3 linked regions of the Tamandua tetradactyla genome follow. The main gene of each other region encodes a partner of the protein of the gene in region 2 in a complex. Links are inferred from orthologs where the notes say so. Each region holds a gene or a part of one and is shown on either strand. Other genes may lie near its edges. The genes, in order: KIF11, RBM10 and MYSM1.

The links.
Region 1: RBM10 (region 2) and KIF11 share a complex: the UniProt entries of both Homo sapiens proteins name them as parts of the large chromatin remodeling complex. The link is inferred for Tamandua tetradactyla from reciprocal best matches to the Homo sapiens genes RBM10 and KIF11.
Region 3: RBM10 (region 2) and MYSM1 share a complex: the UniProt entries of both Homo sapiens proteins name them as parts of the large chromatin remodeling complex. The link is inferred for Tamandua tetradactyla from reciprocal best matches to the Homo sapiens genes RBM10 and MYSM1.

Annotation. Positions count from the first base shown.
Region 1 is NC_135339.1:52,599,798-52,603,546, forward strand, and holds the start of KIF11 (kinesin-like protein KIF11), read right to left. Parts: upstream 2,764-3,749; 5' UTR 2,475-2,763; coding exon 2,398-2,474; intron 1-2,397. UniProt on the Homo sapiens protein: Motor protein required for establishing a bipolar spindle and thus contributing to chromosome congression during mitosis. Required in non-mitotic cells for transport of secretory proteins from the Golgi complex to the cell surface.
Region 2 is NC_135353.1:123,093,102-123,096,850, reverse strand, and holds the start of RBM10 (RNA-binding protein 10), read left to right. Parts: upstream 1-1,188; 5' UTR 1,189-1,491; intron 1,492-1,656; 5' UTR 1,657-1,708; coding exon 1,709-1,802; intron 1,803-3,593; coding exon 3,594-3,735; intron 3,736-3,749. Other genes in the region: NDUFB11 (NADH dehydrogenase [ubiquinone] 1 beta subcomplex subunit 11, mitochondrial), read right to left, coding at 738-944. UniProt on the Homo sapiens protein: Binds to ssRNA containing the consensus sequence 5'-AGGUAA-3'. May be involved in post-transcriptional processing, most probably in mRNA splicing. Binds to RNA homopolymers, with a preference for poly(G) and poly(U) and little for poly(A).
Region 3 is NC_135328.1:162,155,439-162,159,187, forward strand, and holds the start of MYSM1 (deubiquitinase MYSM1), read left to right. Parts: upstream 1-868; 5' UTR 869-911; coding exon 912-976; intron 977-3,437; exon of another isoform or gene 3,438-3,749. UniProt on the Homo sapiens protein: Metalloprotease with deubiquitinase activity that plays important regulator roles in hematopoietic stem cell function, blood cell production and immune response.

The sequences.
Region 1 (3,749 bases), on a different chromosome or scaffold from region 2:
AGTATCAGATAGGATGAATTGTTCTCATGCGGCTAAAGCTTTTCCTATTATTTCTGGCATCCCTAAGTCTAGAGGTGATTAAGCCACTTAATATCACTCCAGTTGTCAAGTCAGAGTATGAAAATCACAGAGATCAAACATTCCTAAGTTATCAAACTCCCAGAGAGGTGCTTTGGAAACTGTCTATACTACAAGAAAGTACTGCCAAGCTACTAATTTCCTATCCAGACTTCTCTAATCAGAAGTCATAAGGTTTCTGCTGATCATCCTAACAAACTCATCATTTAGTTGGCCTCTCTATAGTTATATAAAAATTAAAACACTCAAATGATGAAGGGAGATTGAGGACTTAAAAACAAAACTAAAGTCCTGTCCTGTGAAGTGCTAAATTAATCCATTCAACAAATATTCATCAAGTACCTATTACGTGATAGACTGTTCTAGACATTGGGGATATAGCAGTGAACCAGACTAAGTTTCTGTTTTCTGTGAGTTTTCATCCTAGTTTTGGGGGAAGAGTGGGATGAAATGATGAACAAATGAATATTTTAGGTGGTGATAAATTAGAAAAGAAAACAAAGCAGATTGGAGGATGGCAAGTGATGATAAGGGAAAATAGCTGAAATTCTAGGGTGATCAGGAAGGTTTCTCTGATAAGTTGACACTAAACAGAATCTAAAATAATAAGGGAGCCAGCCAATGTAATTATTTTGACAAAGACAGAGAACAGAAGTTGCAAAGGCCCTGAGGTAGAAGCATGGGGGATGTGCTTAAGGGAAGGAAAGAAAAAATATATGTGGGAGATGTGCGGATTGGCAGAGCATCAGAAAGATAGCCAGTTGCTAGATCATGCAGTGATCTAAAAACTTTAGCCTGTAGACCAAATCTGGCTGTTGCCCTGCTAGCAACCTAAGATCTGGTTTGTTAAAAAAAAAAAAAAAATCAGAGAATGTGTGACAAAGAGTGTATGAGCCAGCAAAACCTAAAAATGTTTACTATTTGGGTCCTTTCCTAAAAAGGGTCACCAACCCCTGAGGGTCTTCCCATTCACAAATTCTTTATTTACTAACGCTTAAGCACAAATACTTGCACTCAAAAGGCTATTTGAAAGAAGAAAGATTAACCTGAAAAGAAGAAAAAATGCTCCAATACTAAAATTATTGTAAATATCAGACACTGCCTAAGTGCATTTCATTGGTGATAGGGTAAAAAAAATGTCTTTTGAGGTAAGGCTTGAAATATGGGGGGATAAGAAACACTAAGTTCAGGATAATGGCTAACTCTAGGTGAACAAAGAGGAATTGAGGAGGGGTACACAGGGGGTTCTACCTGTAATGATGTTTTGCTTCTTAACCTGGGCAGTGGGTACACAGATATTTGCTACATTGTTCTTTACAAGTTTCTGTAGGTATGAAATATTTTGTAACAATAAAAAAGAAATCAAATTAAAAAATATATATACAGACAGTAATATGGCCTAGCTTTTTCTTCTCTTTTCTTTTTTTTTTTTTTTGCCTAACTTTAAACAGCCAAAATAATCTTAAAATTTGCATTTGTAACATGGGCTGTTGAAAAAAAAATTCAAAACAAGTAACTATTTAGTTGCAGCCCTAGAGTACAGCTGGTGAGTGTAAATTGGCTAGACTCAAGGTTATCACCAAATATCTTCTCTGGCACGTAGTTTAGAAATCTGGCTCTCACTTTTGATACTCAGATCGTCAGAGCTGAGTAATAGCCTAGGAAAGTCTGTGGGTATAGTTCTTTTTAATAAATTTTTTTATATTGTAAGTTCTAGATTTCCAAAAAAGTTGCAGGTAGTTGTACACATAGTTTTAAAAACAAAAACAGACATACAAAACATAGACCAGCAAACTGATCAAGACCGCTAAAAAGTTTAATAAATCATCTTTAATTAAGCACCAGTTTATACAAGTACGCTCTTCCTAGACTATTTAAAGGGAACAGACGATTACATTTTTAGAGGTGAAGGAGATGAAGCATAAGTGCTAAAACATCTGCAAAGTAGGTATGCAGTCTTATTTCCAAACTGACAAACCGAATGGAGTAGCACATAAAAGTGGAACCTAAATCTTTATCGGCAGTAGTTAAAAAAAAATAAGAATGCAATTTCCAATAAAGAACAAGGATCAAATTCGCCTTCTGATAGCAGTTTAAATATCATATTAATACAAGCACCCGTATTTTCTCCAAAACAGAGGCGATGACAATACTAATTTACTCCCTACAGGAACCTGGTGTCGTTTTTACGGAAGTGCAACTTAACCAAGGAAGGTTTGGCCCCCTCCAGGAATGCAAACAAAACCCCTCTCCCCGGACCGCCCTGGAGGGAGCTCAACAGCAAAGCCCGGGCGCCGCGAATCCTGCCAGTCACTCTACCTGCATCTCACCACCACCTGGATGTTCTTCCCCTTCTCCTCTTTCTTCTTCGCAGACGAATTCGGCTGGGACGCCATGACGTGCCGCGTCAAAAAAAATCAAGGTCTGACCGCAGGCTCGGACCCTGCGGGGTGCAAAGGGACAGGCGGCCGTCGCGCCCACCTCCCCGGCTGGGCCCTGACTCAACCCGGGAGAACCGACGCACGCAGCTCGGCGCCTCCGCTCTCCACCAGGGACTCTGACAGACCGCAGCTTCTGCCCAGGACCAGCCAAACTCGCCACCCGAAGTCCGAAAAACCAAACGACTACGCGCCTCAATTTGAAAACCGAGCTGAGTCGCAGGGCCAATCGCAGCGCGGCGGCGCAAGGCACCATGGGGCCGCGTTGTCGCGTGGGCCACGCCTCCGGGGCTGGCCTGCCGGGAAAGGAAGCTCCGCTGTAGGCGCCGCTGCGAACTCGTCATCAGTGCGGCAAACGCACGAGTAGAGGGCGTGGCGGTGCTGCGTGGCTTTCAGGTTCAGACTCAAGTTGCTACGTCAAACTCTGGCTGCGCCACTTGCCAACTGGATGTCTTTTCTCAAGTTATGTAACGTTTCTAAACCAAACTTTCCTCACTTGCAAAATGGAAGTAATAGTAATGGCCTCCGAGGGTTGTGGTGAGAATAAACTGCGTGTAAGAACGTACACTGTGTCTAGAACACAGCAAACGATCAGGAAGAGTGGCTGTGATGGTTTAAGTATTAGAAAATTGCAAGAGAGTGGTATGGGACGCACAGAGGAGAGAGGCCCAAACACTCTTTAGCGGTGCAAAACGAGCTCTGAAGGTAGCGGCAAGGGCTGTCTTCCGAGGGTAAGAAATAAGGCTCCCACAGGCACCAAGTCGTCATGAAATAGCCTTTAATGTCATTTTAAGAACTCTGAATTTACCCTTCATTACATGAACTCAAGCAAGAAGGCCAGATCAGATTTCCGTTTTGGAACAGCCGCTCTTTAGTGGTAGACGCATTCGGAGCGCTTCCCTCCAACCAGCAGGCGCAGCACTCGCCAGCGTCCCGAGGACTTCGCGCAATACCCGCCCGCCGTCCGCCTACGAACCCCAGCGTGCAGAGCTGCCCGGCCCGCCGACCTTTGGTGGCCTCGGTCTTTACGTACGTGGGTTATGGAAGTTGGTGGTGCTTGGGGTGACTGAGCCACTTCAGGTGTGGGTTCCGGCCCAAGAAATATTGGGCCAGGGCTCATAGGCGGCTCCTGTAGCTACGCTTCTGGGCCACAGAAACCTAAGGGCCACAGAAACCTAAATGTTTTCGTTTCTTAGTAAAAACAACGGCCTGGTGGAGAGGAAAGCTCTCAAC
Region 2 (3,749 bases):
CAGCTTCTAAAGCTGAGTACTTACCAAGTACAAGCTGCTGTTCTGACCATTTTGGTTAATTTAATTGCATGAGGCAGGTATAGTATTCTATTCTTTAGATAGTGTTTTTATTACTTCCCCATTTTACAAAGAAAACTTAGGCACAAGAGGTTGAACCACTTGCCCAAGGTCACACAAATGAGTAACTATTAAGTGTCTGGATCCGAACCCAGGCCATTTGACTTTAGAGTCTGTTATTAATACAGGACAGCAGACCAGTAGACCTAGGTTCAAATACCTATTTCCACCATGTATTCAGTTATGTTATGTTAGCTGAGACAAGCATCTAACATCCCTGCGCTTGTTCTCGCATCTGTAAAATGGGTATATAATAGTGTCTATCTCAAAACATTATTGCTTCTTAGATGAGCTAATGCATATAAAGTCCTTAGAACACTGCCTGGCAGAATAAGCGCCATATTGGTGTTTAATATTATTGTTGTTATACTATATTGCTTCTAACGTGGTTTGAGAATTGCCCACTTCAAGTTTGATTTCTGTCTGCAAAATAATGCCAATCCCGCATCTGGCCCTAGACCAGACTCTCAGGGGACAAATTAGGCGAACAAGCTAGGCAAAATTCATAGAGGATTTCGCCAGCTGCGCAACCTTCGGTCAACTAAGAACGTCCTCTACTGCGCTCCGTCAGCCTGCTCCCGATTGACCCTTTCGACGTCCTAGTTCCCCCTCCCTCTCACCTTCTCGTAGAGGTTTTCGTCCTCGGGATCCGGGTCCTCCTGCCAGCGTATGGTCGGTTCCCGAGTACGCTTCTCCGCCACGACAGGTGGAGCGACTACAGCCCGAGAAGAGCCGGATTCCCAACGGACACGGGCAGCCGGGAGCCCCCGCGTCGCAGCTGCAGCCAAAATGCGGCGAGCGTACAAACCTAGTTGCCCGACCGCCATGATAGATTGCTCCGTAGTAACTTAGGGGCGGGGACGGCAATGCGATTCTGCGCAGCTGCAGTTTGCGCGTGCGCGATATTTGTCGCTCCGCCGCCGCCGCAGTAAATAAGTCTCAGGTCTGATTTTCTTTTCAAATGAGGCGGGGCGCTGCGTGGCCCTCTTTCCCTCTCTCTGTCATGTCCTGGAGGGACCAACCCTTCTCTTATCCTCTCCTTCGGGCTGAGGAGTTTCTTATTGACAGGTCTGCTCTCTTCCTTGATGGGAAAAAAGCGGTGTCATTTGGGTGGTTCACAGCCAATCGCACAGCGAGTTCCCTTGCTGTTTGGGGAAGGGGCGGGGCTTCCGTTTGCCTTTCATCTTCAAAGGAAGCCAAGCTTCTAAGAAGCGGGCCTCGCGGGATTGACCAATGGCCACTCTTTTTCTCGACTTGCGGGCGTTCGCACGCGGGAGTGGGGAGGTGGCATTCGCTTGCCAATCAGAGGAGGCCAGGGTTGGCCGACCGCGGGCGGCGACCAATAGACGAGGACCGGCGGAGCGCGCTCCCTTAGTAGGTGGATGGTGGTCGAAGCACCGGTTCCCTTCTCGTCGTCGCCATTTTGTGTGGCTGTTTGAGATCGACTGGGAGTAGGTGGCAGTGGGTTTTCCGGGGAGGGTAGCGCGTCTGGCGCTTCTCCCTTCCCCTTTCTCCCCTCCTCCTCCCCTCTGCCTCCAGCCACGGACTTGGTGGTTACGCTGACCAGCTCCGGCTGAGCTGGGAGAGTTGGATGCGGTGGCGACGGGCCGAGGTGATGTCTGGGAGCCCTCCCGTGACAGCCCGGACCGAGAAGGTGAGCGTCGACGCTGGTCTTGAGGGTGGAGGTAAGGGGCTGGGAAACGGGGTGCGTAGAGGAGCGCAAGGAAGGACTGCGGGCCAGGGGCCTGGAGGGTGCGCGGAACTGAGGGATGAGTGCACAGTCTGAACCCGGGAGAGGGTGACTTTTTTTTTTTCCCCTTTGAGACCAAAGGCGCGTGCGCGATTGGGACCACGGGGATGGGTGCACGCGAGTTGGGGGAAGGGAGGGAAGGATGGGAGTGGGTTACTGTGGCTTACTGTCAGTGACGCTGGGCTTTATCCCTGGAGAGTCGGGTGTCTGCGACTTTAGTTTTTATCCACAGGGGAGGGGATGTGCTGTCTGCTCGGTCTATGTGACTGGTACCTGTCTATCAGTGGGGACATGTTTTGTGGCTCTGGTCCTTATTCGTGAGCCGGCGGGGGCTCATAGTTTGTACGACTCCGCTCTTTATCCCTAGGGTATGTCTGTGACTCTGGTCCTTACTCATGTGGGGTAGGGGGTGGGGGGGCAGTGTCTAGGCCCTAACCCACTTATTGAGTGTAGGGAGTGTATGTGTGGTTTATTGCCCCTTCTTTTGAGAGGTTTCTATCTGTGACTGTGATACTTATCCATTGAAAGGGAGCTCAGTGTGTGATTATGGCCCTTATTTATTGCGGGTCTCTATCTGTGATTTCTGCCTGTAGTTATTTGGGGCTCGTATCTGTGACTTTGGCCTCTATCTGTTGTGGCTCTGGTTCCTTTGCCAGAGCCTGTATCTGGGTTTCATCCAAGTGGACCCCTGGTTGTGATTCTAATCTTTAGGTATCTGGAGATAGGTAACTCTGGTTCCCTGTGGCTTGAGGAGGAAGAGAAAATTGGTGTGTGTATGCATGGGGAAAGGTGTGGTGGCATCCTAGTGTTGGGCAGGTGCTGTAACCGATAGGCTTTTCTCAGATTCCTGTTCACAGGGTGGGGCCTGAAGATTCAGGATATATCATGACCCTTGGCTGGGTCACATGGCTCCGCAACCCTCAGGGTTGAGTGAGTTGACTGACTGCTCCTCTGGCCTAGCAGAATAGCACAGTGGTTTGAAACAGCCTCTGAAAGGGCCCCTGTTACGTCTGAGAAGACTTGGGCCCAAACCCTGGGGAGAGAGCCACTTTGGGACCTGGCTGAATATTAGTTTGACCCAATTGCCCTGTGAGAGCCAAAGCTGAGCTGGCCAGGAGCCTAGTGAGACAGCAGCTATCTCGTTGCCAAATTAGCCCCCACCCCCCTCCTCACCCAAGAATGTTTCATGGTCTCCTTCCTGTCCCCTTGCAGAATCTTGTTAGGAGGACGAAATGGCTCCTGGGGGCCTAGAAGGAGCCTGGTGGATGCCTGAGACTCCCCTTGCTGTGGAGTCTCACCTCTGTACTTAAAGTGTCTATTCTGTGGCAGGTCATTCAGCGCTAAGCGCTCCCCTGGGCAGGCAGCTTGTCTACAAGTCTCAGGTGGCAAATCCCTGAATACTGGATGGGTGGGTGACATCACTACCCCTCCAGTCTCCGAGGTCTGTGGCCCCTCTGAGTGTTCCAGCTCTCTCTACAAGATGCTCTCCTATCTGATGACGGTCTTGCTATTTCTAGGGAGAGGGCTCTAGCCACGTGTTTGTGGAGAAAGGAAGAAGGAGGCCAAGCAGTAGTTGTATTCCCATTTTGGTCTACAGGAGTACTAGGAGTTGGAAAACAATGTCCCAGGCTAAAGAACAGCAAAATATCTGGACAACCAGAGTTTCTCAAGGAGACCTTTTCTGCCCCAGCTGCCTTGACCCCTTTCTTTCCTCCCATCTCCCTAGAGTCCCTACAGGAGGAATCACCCAGGCTGGCAGATCATGGTGGCAGCAGTGGGGGTGGCTGGGAAGTGAAACGGAGCCAGCGGCTAAGGAGGGGCCCCAGCAGCCCCCGCAGGCCCTATCAGGATATGGAGTATGAAAGACGGTAAGTTATCCTCC
Region 3 (3,749 bases), on a different chromosome or scaffold from region 2:
ATGTTTTAATCCACTACGGTTAAAGTCCTTATAAGATAAAGAAATTGGACACAAAAAAAGCTAGAAACCAAAAGAGGAAAGAGAGGAAATTGCCACGTGATGGAAGAGACAAAAAACAAACAAACAAAAAAACCCAAGACACCAGTAAGCAGGTCCAAAACATGATAGTCTCTGGGGAGAAAGGATTGCTTTGCTTGCACATAGATTATGGACTTTTCCTAGCTCCAAAATTGAGTGCCAATAAATTCCTGTTGTTTAAGCTAAACCATTGTATGGTATTCGTTCTAGCAACTGGGAAACTAAGTCTCAGTTTCCTCATCTATTGTGTGATTGACGATACTAGCCATTATCTCAATGGGTTACTGTAACGATTAATGGTCATTTGAGAGTGATTTTTTAATTGTTAAGATCGCTACAAAATAAATGATGCAATCATTAGGTTATATATTTTAAAATAGAGTTTGTTCAGCACTTACATCTCTTTTTAAAAGAGAGAGAGAAAGCATACGTGAAAGCGCAAACGTAAATAACCAGCAGATACGACTTCTTCACATTTGCCACCTTCACAGTTCCCCGAGTATAGCCTAGCTCCAACTTTTCATCAGGCCATTAAAGTATTTGCTGCTATTCCTCTTTTACAAATGATAGAAGGGAACTGCCAAAAAATTTGTCCAAGAACATCAGCTCTCAAAAGCCCAAGGCAGGGACACTTCCCAAGGATCCTGACATTTAAAACGTAAAAGAACTAAACCACACGCCTCCGGGACTTTCCTTCTGGAAGCCACGCCTCCTTGGCCCAGGAGGGGCTTGACGGGACTTCAACCCCTCCCCTTGACGCATCCGGTCCCGCCCCCGGGTCCTCCACCTCTCGCGGGATCTCTCGGGAGGACAGGACCCGGTCCGGCCCCATCATGGCGGCTGAGGAGGCGGATGTGGATATCGAAGGGGACGTAGTGGCAGCGGCGGCACAGACAGGGTGAGGCTGTGAGACGATTCTTACCGGGCGGCGGGAAGAGGGCGCAGATGCGAGGAGAGGACACTGGGAAGCCCACGGACCTGGCAAGGCACGGGGCATCGGAAGACCATCCGCTAGGCCAGGGTCTCCTGGCGGCGGGGCTTGTGGTTCTGGTGGCGCCGCCCGTCGCGCCAACCCATGTGTCCTCACCCTAGCGGGCGACTATTCGGGGCTAGTTTCGAGACTCCTCTTTCGCTTTTCACCGGGTGCTTGTGAGGGCGCCGACTTCGCCTGGCATATTGCACTCGTTCCAGCGTTAGGTGCCTTCTTCCTTCCTCCTCGCTTTAGAATCTTCCCCGGTATCCTCAGTCCCACTGCCCGCCAATGGAACCGAGGCGGTTCCTGGCGGGTCCTGAACGGGACCTCAATGCAGGGACCCTCGTGCCATTACTCTCAAGCCTTGTAACCTTGGGCGAGAACACGTTTCTTCTCCATATGGAGAATAAACTACCTGAGAGGGAGAGTCAGGAGAGTCAGGGTTTTAGAGTTGGACAGTTCTGAGTTTGCTTTCTGCGTTTACTAACACTACCAGCTACTAGCAGTGTGACCTTGGACAAGACACTTGTCTAGCCTCAGACCTCTCATGTGTAAACTGATAATCGTGATATGTACCTCATGGGGTTGTTGAGGATCAAATGAAACTATTATGAAATGTTTTTGCATATTGTAGGGGCTCTGTAAATGTGTTTGGCTATCCGATTACCTTCGGGATGGTAGCGTGAGGACGCGGTGAGGAATCACAGTTTATTTAATAATAATTTCCGCAGAACAGCCCAGTGTGGTTTTAAACAGCAACCTTCAGCTTGGAAGATCTGGTCTATTGATGCGTTACTTTTTCCACTTACTGAGATCAATACGTATCATTTAAAAAGTGTTCTTCTAGAATATAATTTTAGTAGTGGAAGATGTCAAGACTGGCCTGGACATCAGAAAACCTTAGCTCTAAACCCAGCTAGCGATGTTGTTTTAACTGAAAATCTTCATTAATCTGTTAGGTTGAACCATATGAAATTGCCAGTATTCAACCATTTTTTACTCTTTTTTGTAAAATGTCAATTTCATATGGTTCAACCTATTATCAGAACCACTGTTAAATGGGGAGAAGAGTACAACCTGGCCATGAGGGGCAAGATATGGATATAAAAGTGTTTCCTGAACTCTAAAGCCGTATAAAAATGTGAGAGATAATTCAACTCATATAGTAATTTTACATCAAATTTTTGAGGAAAGAAGCCCAAAGTATGCATATGAGTAGGAAGTCTTTAATAACAGTAATTGTTCACAGTTGTGTTGTTTAAAACTTGACCAAATGCTTTTGTGTACTTGATTTAATTTACTTTTCACAAGTCCATGAGGTGGGTGGGCAAGAATTCTTTTGCAGCCCAGAAAGAAATTAATTGGCCTTGGAAGTACTAAATAAAGATCATCTGAAGGCATTAACTGTAGACCATTCTTCTACCATAGATTCTTCTTTATTTTTCTGGTTGTGTTAAATCCCCCACTCCCACCCCCACCCCTTTCCTTCTTCCTCCACTGTTTGGGCCTTAATTCTGCTGGTGCACTTGTGATTATATCAGCCTCCTATAAACAGGATTTCAAAGATTATTGGTTCCTAATGGTCAGAGCCATTACCTCACGTAACTCCAGGGAAGATCATTACCATTATATCATGGAACATGGAGCCTCATAGTTTTGGGGCTTCAGTCATTTGGGATTTATTGTGGATGGTGTCCCCTGAAGTATATACTTAACAACTGATGATAGCATGTGTGAAACATTGGAACATTAATATAAAATACACTTTTTTAGCACTTGCTTAGTGGTAGGTACCAAGGTACCTTTCTTTCCTACTATTCCTTCTCATTCTCCTTTTCTTATGCTTGTCATAGTGTTCCCAAATGGTTTTGTCTTAGGACTTCTCTGCACTGTTCACACAGTCTCAGGTGATACTATCTCAAGGCTTCAACTTCTGGTTGAACCATATGAAATTTCCCCAATTCTACCATTTTTGGCCTACAAAAATCGCAGTTTCATATGTTCAACAAATATGTGCTGATGTTTTCTAAATCTGTCACCAAACCAAATCTCTTTCTTGAGCTTCAGATCAGCTTACCCAATTCCCAAAATAGATCTCTATTTGGATGTCCAGCAGACACCTCAGCTTATCATTTTTCCCTCCTCACCAAATTTGCCTCTCTAGCATCCCCTAGTTAAATAGCGCCAGCATCCACCAGTCACCCAAGGCATAGACCTAGACTTTATCCCTTTTCCTTACCTCCCTCTTTCCACTCACCCAACCCTATTAGTTACTTGGGACCTGCTGATTCAATATGTGTCCTCTCAAATGTATTCATTTCTTCTCACTGCTTGTTCCTTAAGTATAGATTACTACCACTTCTCTCCAGTATTTTTATAATCACTTCCTTGTAACTGCTCCTTGTTTCCTTGGCCCCTTTTATTCTTTCCTGAAGTTAAAGCTGCCTTACATCCAAATCTGATCACTTTATTTACTTCAATCCCTCACTGGATTTTATGACAAAATCCTCATCTGTAACTCCTAAAGATCTGTGTGATCCACGCCACACTTATCTTGTTCATTCATTCATACAGCAAATATTGATTGAAAACATTCTGTATACCAAACTCTAGGAATATAGTAGCTTTCAAAAACTAAGTCCCTCCTCTCTTAGAACTAACATTATTGGTTAAGACAATGAACAAACATAAATAACAC